Arabidopsis thaliana: one gene and its partner. The protein of the gene in region 1 purifies or fractionates together with the protein of each later gene. This does not show direct contact. Each region holds a gene or a part of one and is shown on either strand. Other genes may lie near its edges.

Region 1 (3,397 bases):
CCAAGATGCATGTCCCTCGAGAAGAAGCATGTTTTAATGTTATCGACGGTAAGATCTGTGTTTGGAGGCATCAGCAGTAAGTATTATGACACTGCTGAGAATTATGGAGAAGTTTACGACCCAAAGACACAGACTTGGGAGCCAACAAAATGTACTGGAAGATTTTCTCGCGAGAAAATTATTGGTTTGTGCCCTACTGTTTGCTTGTTAGAGTCAAAGAATAACGTATGGTGGACAGCGAGGGTTTCTGAAACTCGAAACTAGTCTGCGGTGATATATGCACGTTCACGATTAGAGGACTTGAAGAACCGTCCTCTAAGTATCTTATTTCGGTGACAAAACCCTGGCCTGAGGAAGGAGAGTGATAGTTCGGTGGAAGACTTATACTAAGGAATGTAAAACGGAGATTTGGTGTGCAGAGATTTTGATTGAGTGTGATTTCCCTCTTCGGGGATACATAGAATGTTTTTACCTTCCAGGGGTTGTGAATCAGATGATCCCAAATTCCTTTTGCATTCTGCTTTAGTGACACATGATCACTGAATTTTCTATGAGCTTTTGAGAGATAAAATTACAATTATATACTTTTTTTTGCATTCTGCTACTTTGGCTTTCAAATAACGGTTCATACAAATAAAAGAAGTTATAATTCATCCATACAAATTTTGTTTAAATGATACAAAAAAAGTAGTAACAAGATTCACATACCAACCACAATACTTGTATAATCCATTGCATACCTGCAACATAAATTTCGACCGGTCGATATGTTAGATCTGAAAACAACAGAAAGAGGTAGACTTGGGCATAGACTCGTCAATCATCATTAGACTGAGAAAATTCTCAATACCTGATCAGTGTATAGATGGTGTGGTTGTGACAGAATCGGGGATAGACTCGCGACGAAGCTCTTTCACAACAGTAGCTAGAGCTTCAGGGTTAACACCAAGATCACAAAGAGCTATGAGAACTGACAAAGTATGCCGGTCCAAACCCGTGTCCAAGATGTTTGACATGCGAAACACAAGCTCTAGTGACTCTCTTGCTGTCCGAGATGCCTCCTCATCCATACTGATCACACCTGTTAAACTCCACAATTTTAAAGTCCTAAGGTAGTTAGTGAATTATAGAGTTTCTACCAAACCAAATTAGACAAAAGTAAGTGAACTATGATCTAACAAGAACCAAGTCAAAGACTCTTAGGTGATTTTGACATAAGAAGTTAGAAACTAGAGTCTTATAAATTACACAACAACATTTCAAGCTAGAGCTTTGTAGTGAAGATACAATGCTCACACACACAAAAGTGAGTCAAATTTGTTTCAGAGCCCAATAATATTATCTGATAGGTGAACAAGGATTAGTCTAATAGATCAGTTAATACCAAAACCAAAACACAACCCAGAAACATTCAATTCAAAAGAAATGTAATTCAGATGAAAAATGAGATTGAAATTAGGGTTTTTATGTCGGCGGCAATTTGCATAACATCGAATAAATTTCAAATTTTTTATTTCGAGACTAAGAATTAAGGAGTAATCTGATAGAAACGAAGATAAGAAAACTTACGTTTAGAAACGGAATTTGCAAAAATAAAGTATGAAGCTTGGTCTTGGAGATAGTCGCAGACTCACAGTGTGAAGTGAGAAGTGGGAGACGAAGGGAAAGGACTTGGAGGTCTTTCAATAAATGTAAATTGTGTTATGTCAAAAGAAAAAAAGTTTATTGTCTTTCAATAATCATATTAATATTCTAAACAAAAATATGTTTGAAATATAACTCCGACACTAAGATTGATAGTGTTAATTTTTTTTAATGAATTATACTAATGAAAAGAAAATAATATAACTCTGACACAATTGTTTTTCTTTTTTAACATCTGAAAAAAACAGATTTTTTATAATTGAGATAAATCATATAGAAGATGTTTGTTTTTAATATTTTTTTCTCGAACAAATGCTTATTTCATTATATAAGAAATGAGTTTTCAAAATTATTAACTCACGTGTCAAATTTATTAATAAGATATTCGCACATGTCAAATCAAATTTTTTTATATTTAAAAACATAAATAGAAATTTTTTCTAACCTTATTGAAAAAGAAATATATACATAAAGTCAAAAATAATGTTTCTATATTCAAATTTTTTATTTAATATACTAAACTATTGAACTAATGAACTAATTCTATTAAAATTGATATATTCAAAACAGAAGTATAAGTTCTTTATTTTGTTTTGAAAAATATTAATATGTGTTTTAATATTTTCTAATAACTTAAATATGTTTATTCTTTTATTTTCTTAAGTTTATTTTTTTCCCTCAATTATATCGTTCAATTTGTTTACAACAATATGCATCTAGAGGCTCCGTTGCGTCCGTCTTTTTCTTGATGTTGTATGTCGTCAGTCGTCTTTGTCTTATCTTTGTGTTGTACTCTGAGAAATACCTTATTATATGTAATCAATAAAAGCATGTTATATAGAATCTATAGAATGTGTAAGATTAAAATTTGTATTTAGAAAATACAGATTACTATGTAAAATTTAAATCTCGTAAAAAATTATTTAATTCTCACAACTGTCTATTTAGAAGGGAATTATCTAATATAATTCCAAGTTTTGAAACATTGTAAGACAAAGTTAATTATAGAATCGATGTTTCAAGCTGTTATTCATTAGAATTGAAGAATGAGTAAATATTGAACCCAAATACAACTTCTCAAATGTTTTTACTTTATATGATATTTTTTTGGAGTATAACATGTAGCGTAAGCTAAAATTGTAAGAAATAAATTGGAAAAAAAATTATCTATTTAAAAAATAATAATTTAAAACTCTATTTCGGTGTAGGAGGAGTTACACCGGCAATTCTTGAACATTGTTCTTTTAGCATCGGAGGGAAAAGCGGAATAAGTGGAATTTTTGGTATGCAGTTGGCTTCAGCGTCCAAAAATGCTTTGCAACAAGCAGAACCTAAATTACTGAATTTGCCAATAAAAATGGATTGAGAAATCTCTGCAATGCATTCAGGAATATCCATCACGGATGACCAACATTTCGTTATATCAGGTAATCCTGGCATTCCAGGAATCGGTTGAAACGAAAATGGAAAAAGAAACGGAGCCGGAAACTGAGGTAACTGAGCATTTACAGAAACTATGATGCATAGAACCACTAAGAGTGAAAACACATTTTTGATAGGCATAATGAGAAACTGAGAAATAAAAAAGCCTTAGTATAGCCAAATATATGCTTAATGCTCTGTTTGTTTTTGATTGATGAACAACAATAAGATTCCTGCTTATTTATATGGAATGAAATGTAAAACTGTGATATTAATTATTTTAATAACATCTTTGAATGGTTTAATTAGGTATTTGATTAACAGTTTTATA
Region 2 (5,347 bases), on another chromosome or scaffold:
GGAATAATTCGCCAAGCTGTTCCCCTTTTTTTTAAAAAAAATTATTGATACGAGAATAAAAACAAATTGTTATTATAAAAATTTATGCTTTGAGTGAAACATATGTAACGGCTAGTAAGTAAGTGTTGTTATAGGTCTTTAGTCAGATTTTGGTTTTTACTCGTAAGATTATGCTTAGTTTCAAAATAAGAAGAAAGATAAGGACTTAGCTAACAAACAAAGTAACATACACTTTCGATATCTAAAAAGTAAAATCTATTCATCATAAGGCCAAATAAATCGCAGTTGATGTCGGATTGTTTATCGTTTTGTCAACATCTCTTTTTATTATTTGCTTACTAATTTACAAATACTCGCGTCTAAAACGACTTCTTGGAAAATCATTAGTGTAATTTGTTACCTAATCCCATTATATTATAAAATATGAGGTCCACGAAATTTAAATTCTTATATAGTAAGTAAATTCAATTCAACTTGCAAAGGTTTTTTTTTATAAATATGATTTTATATTGTTGGTTAAGTTTGATTTGCTTCCAGAACGGCGTCGTATGCAAAAAGAAACTCAAAGGAGAGTTGACCGATAGAATTTACTATGATCAACACGGCACTAGTAAAAGTTTAGATCACAGCATATATACAAAGAAAATAGAATCCATTAAACCCAATTCCTTCATCAACACAACATGCTTCTTGCTTTCTAGAGTTTTCGAGTCTTTTAACCACACATGGAGAACATGATACTCCGATCACAGAGACATGAGCTAAAACACCCATAAATATTACAATTCTAGATTCCTTCTCCTGAGGAGTGAGGAGATGCAACTTTGTGTGCTCTCAATCCCAGGAAACACACATTCATCTAACAGACTAAAAAACTCATCCACATCATACCACTATTCCAAGGTTTTACGTGCCAACACTTACTACTGCTCCTACCAAAACCCATTTTTAAGTAATCCTATGATCACCTGAAATATCTCAGTTAAAAGTGAAACTTCATGCGACTTACTCTGGTTTTTGTTTTTATATAATAATCAGAACGCCAACTTCGGATCAACAACTCCTGAAGCATTGCCTTCACCAGTCATAAGCTGTTCAGGGTCCTGAGACAGACACAGATACAGTTATCATTTCGAGTTCATCCATAAGTAAGATTATTGATGGGAAAAGCTTATATACCTCCATTCCCCATTTGATGTAATCTGGAGACTCACAGGCCTTGTATTCATCTACCAAACTCTCAATTATGTCCCTTGATTCGTCAAACTCTGAAAGATCATTGTCCTGTTCATATCAACATGTAACTGTCAAAGCTGGGTTTGTTGCACTAAACATCAGCCAAACAAAGCCATTATACTTGAGCAGTCAACTTACAGCAAACATGGGAAACTTCCGGTAATTGTCTAGAAAAGCTTGCTTCTTCCTCAACTTATCATATTGGCTCAAACATTTGCTGAATAGGTGCCTGATACTAGTGTGGCTTGCTAACATAAGACCACTGACCTGAAATATCAAATACACCATAAAATAAGAGTCTTTGTTGAATCTTCTAAAGCAGGAACTAGCAGCCTAAGACATTAACTGTAAGGAGCGGCAACTCTCAGTATGACAGATAGATATAGAGTGATATAAGATTACCCTATGGGCAGTTTGAACATATGGGGACTTCTTGGAAAGAGCAACCTGTTGAGAGTAAGATATGGAAAAAATTATGATTCAAGTCCATGGTGAAGCCAAAAGCAATAACTAATTTGCAGACACAATTAGGTTAGAACCTGTATGCTTGCAGGTCCCCACTCAATGAAATTAACAAGCTTTCTTTCTCGTATCCTCTGCAAACTCTCATGCACCTAGTATCAAGTAGCGAAATAACAGAGCAGATTACATCAGCAAGAAAGAATAACCAATTCATCCTCAATGTGTCCGATCAAAAAACAGCTAGGTAAAAGTACCTGAGTGGGATCGACTTCTCCTTGAATTATATTCAATATTGATATATACTTTGCCTGACTAGCTTCTTTGTTTCTAGCATAAGACGAAACCATGATATTTTTTGTCTGCAAATACAATCATGTTAGAAGCACAACCGATTCAAGTTTCGGAAAAAGATTGGAGAAGGCAAACAGCTCACCTGTAGAAGTCTTCTCATAACATCCAGCACAGTAGTTTTACGAATGACATTTGCCTGCCAAGAACAAGTCAGTTAATAGAGCAGGAAATCAATCAAAAAAACCATTTGCACACTGTAGAATTTATGTTCAAGATACAATGATCGCTTCCCATAAAATTATTTTGTGATATTAAACTCGTTGAGATATCTTACCTGGCGCTCAACAGTCAATGGTGTATATCCAGTCATGAGGAAGTGACACCTTGGTGTTGGGATCAAAGATGCAAGCAAGCCAACGAGGTCGTTATTCATGTATCCTGGATAACGCAGTGTTGTTGTGCTAGCAGACATCACAGTAGACACTAGAGAATTCGTTTGAGCAAAGGTAGGATTTGTCAGATGTAGACGCTCCACAGCAATCCTTCCCAAAGCAGTGTTGTCAAGGACAACAACACAATCAGCATTTAATGTAAGCCGCTTAAGCGTCAAAAGTGAGTTGTAGGGCTGGACAACAACGTCACTCGTTTCCATCTGATTGGGAAAGACACTGTATGTCTGAACCAACTTCTTGCTGTAGCGATCATTCAAAGTCTCCAACAAATAAGATCCCATACCTTCATGTGAAAGAAAGAGAGAGAGAGATGGAGGGAGTCATTCACATCAGAAGAAGCAGTGAAAAAACATGAGAATGCTAAAAGAAGAAAGCCTCATCATTTACCTGAGCCAGTGCCTCCAGCAATAGAGTGGCAAAGAACAAAACCCTCAAGACTGTCACTTCCATCAGCTTCTCGATCAATCATGTCCATGATTTCCTCTTCAACACCCTTCCCCTGGTGATAACCACTGGCCCAGTTATTACCAGCACCACCACCATGGTCAGCAACGAAGATATTCTCGTGATTATAGAGATTGCGGTAATCACCATTCTGAATACCATTGATGACTCTAGGCTCCAAATCAATGAGGAGAGCTCGTGGGATATAGTGTTGGTCATCCGCTTGGTAAAAAAACACATCTTTTCTATCACCTCCCTTCACAAACAAGATCAAAACATCAAAAATCCACTAATCCACTAATCCCAAATGGGTATTCAATTGTCGATTAATAGAAACCCAGAAACAACGATTTCGAATCAATAAGACCTAAGAAATTCAAGTAGACAATTAATTATAAAGAGAGGCTTGGTTGGTTCAGAAGAAGAAGGACCTGAGTAGCGAAGTCCTCGAGAATACCATCTTTACTGATACCGTGCTCGAGGCAAAGCTGTTTCCAGAACTCCATACCGATCTGATTCCCACATTGTCCAACCTGAAGCGTAATTATCTCCCGAGGCATTTCTAAACCCAGAAAGTTGTTATTGGGTACAAAACTAGGGTTTCGAGACTGTGAGGAAGATGATGAATGATGAAGAAATGAAAATGATTAAATTAAGCTCTGGCGCGGATACCTTTTTAAAACTCGATCCAATGCTTTAAAGAATTTTTGCGGACGGAGAAGATAAATTTTTGCATAGATTAACACTAAACCATATGCTCTAATTAAAGCCACACTCTCTCAGCTAAGCTAACTAACGTCTGCTTACTCATATTGGGCCAATTATAGGCCCGTTTTGTATTTCTTCAGCCCAATAAATCTTAAAAAGGAAGAATTTTGCATGTAAAGGATGGAATAATAACTTTTAACTTTAAGATTAATTTTTAGAGTTTTTTGATTATCAAATGGGAAAAATGTCATTTAAATCATTAGTTTACCATTTTCGTTAGTTTAAAATATGAATTTTGGGTATGGTGATTTAAATCCTTAATTTTATGTTGTTTTTCAATTTAATCATGAATTCTCGTTGAGTAAGCTAATTGAGATACAAATTCTTCTTTTTCGATGCTATCTGTCGACTTAGAGACGAAAAATTACTTTAAATTAAAAAAAGAAGCAAGAATCCGAAGAAAAAGAAAAAAAAATTGGAAATCTATTTTCAAGATCTAAGATTTTTTATTGGAAGAATTTCTAACGACATGTCTTAACCAACTTAGTCAACGAAAATTTATGATTAAATTGAAATTCAACATAAAATTAAAAATTTAAATTACATATTTCCCTTTATGGTAAAATGATAAATTGGAAGAGTTCATTCTTTAAACCAACTAAAATGGTAAAATGATAATCACATATTTCCCTTTATCAAATTCGTAGTGTATCTATATTCTCCAATTTCCGGATTCATTAACGAGTAATTAACAACAAAAAAAAAAACCTCCATTAAAGGTAAATAATCGTCAAATAAACATAAACAAATCTCGCCAGCTTGACTGTTATAAGTCCATTCGACCAAAAACAAAGACTAGAGGAAGAAAACAAAAACCTTAAAACACTTTCAATAGAAGACACGCACTCACTGTCAGAAATCTACATCGAGAAACACACTTCCACTTTCCAAAAACATCATTCATGAAAAAGACCACAGAGAAAACGAAGAATATGGTTGATGATGATGATCGTATACTATGGGATTGTGGAAGTCCACTCTATGATTCCTACGAGCTCGTTTCTCTTACTCACATCATTGAACGCCATTTCATGTCTCTACCTTCTCTTGCTGGCGCCGGAAAAGTTTGCTGCTCTCGAAGACCGTCTGATCTGGAAGAAAAGGCCAATCGTGGGGCCAACACCGTCGTTGATCTGTGTTGTTCCTCTGATTCGACGACTGGTAAACTGTTGTGCGGTGCTTTTGGAACCAAATGGTGGAAGAGAAAGCAAAACACCGAAGCTGTCGTCGATAATTACAACAACAAGAAGAAGAATATGTTTTGTCGGATCCTCTCTAAGATAAGGATTTCTACAACAAGATCTGGTTCTTCGAAGATGTGATTTTCATATCTTCTTTTTCTGTTTTTAGTATTTGTTTGATCCTTCGTAAAATAATAATTAAGTATATTACTTGCTCATGTTTTTTAATTTGAAAATTTAATCGAATAAACTGTAATGAAACGGGAAATACATTTTATTGACTTATGGATTAAATGCAGAGTAATTAGTTTAAGTTGAAGAATTTCATGGATTTAATATCCATCACATCATACGTCTCTGAAACGTTTAGGCAAAGAGTGAAACGTGGATCAACATGCAATCAACGTTTACATTGGGGAATATGAGATATATAGCGATAGAATGATATAGGAGTCGTTTAGCAATTGCCATTTTACTAACAGTTCATCGGGGTGTCAGAAGAAAAATATGAAC

What was found. The genes of interacting proteins can lie anywhere in the genome.
Region 2: the proteins of GIP1 (region 1) and TUBG1 purify together in Arabidopsis thaliana (affinity purification with western blotting; 2 studies listed by BioGRID, with this or other methods). This does not show direct contact.

Annotation. Positions count from the first base shown.
Region 1 is NC_003075.7:6,037,379-6,040,775, reverse strand, and holds GIP1 (AtGCP3 interacting protein 1), read right to left. Parts: upstream 1,722-3,397; 5' UTR 1,570-1,721; exon of another isoform or gene 1,082-1,569; 5' UTR 1,071-1,081; coding exon 855-1,070; 3' UTR 851-854; intron 741-850; 3' UTR 550-740; downstream 1-549. Other genes in the region: CRP4 (ECA1 gametogenesis related family protein), read right to left, coding at 2,839-3,207. UniProt on the Arabidopsis thaliana protein: Required for gamma-tubulin complex recruitment to the microtubule organizing centers (MTOCs). During mitosis, modulates gamma-tubulin complex localization, spindle stability and chromosomal segregation. Necessary for gametophyte development and embryogenesis.
Region 2 is NC_003074.8:22,811,567-22,816,913, forward strand, and holds TUBG1 (gamma-tubulin), read right to left. Parts: upstream 3,651-5,347; 5' UTR 3,446-3,650; coding exon 3,317-3,445; intron 3,142-3,316; coding exon 2,829-3,141; intron 2,725-2,828; coding exon 2,324-2,724; intron 2,186-2,323; coding exon 2,132-2,185; intron 2,058-2,131; coding exon 1,953-2,057; intron 1,851-1,952; coding exon 1,776-1,850; intron 1,684-1,775; coding exon 1,639-1,683; intron 1,504-1,638; coding exon 1,375-1,503; intron 1,285-1,374; coding exon 1,180-1,284; intron 1,104-1,179; coding exon 1,035-1,103; 3' UTR 516-1,034; downstream 1-515. Other genes in the region: AT3G61660 (uncharacterized protein), read left to right, coding at 4,556-4,975. UniProt on the Arabidopsis thaliana protein: Tubulin is the major constituent of microtubules. The gamma chain is found at microtubule organizing centers (MTOC) such as the spindle poles, suggesting that it is involved in the minus-end nucleation of microtubule assembly.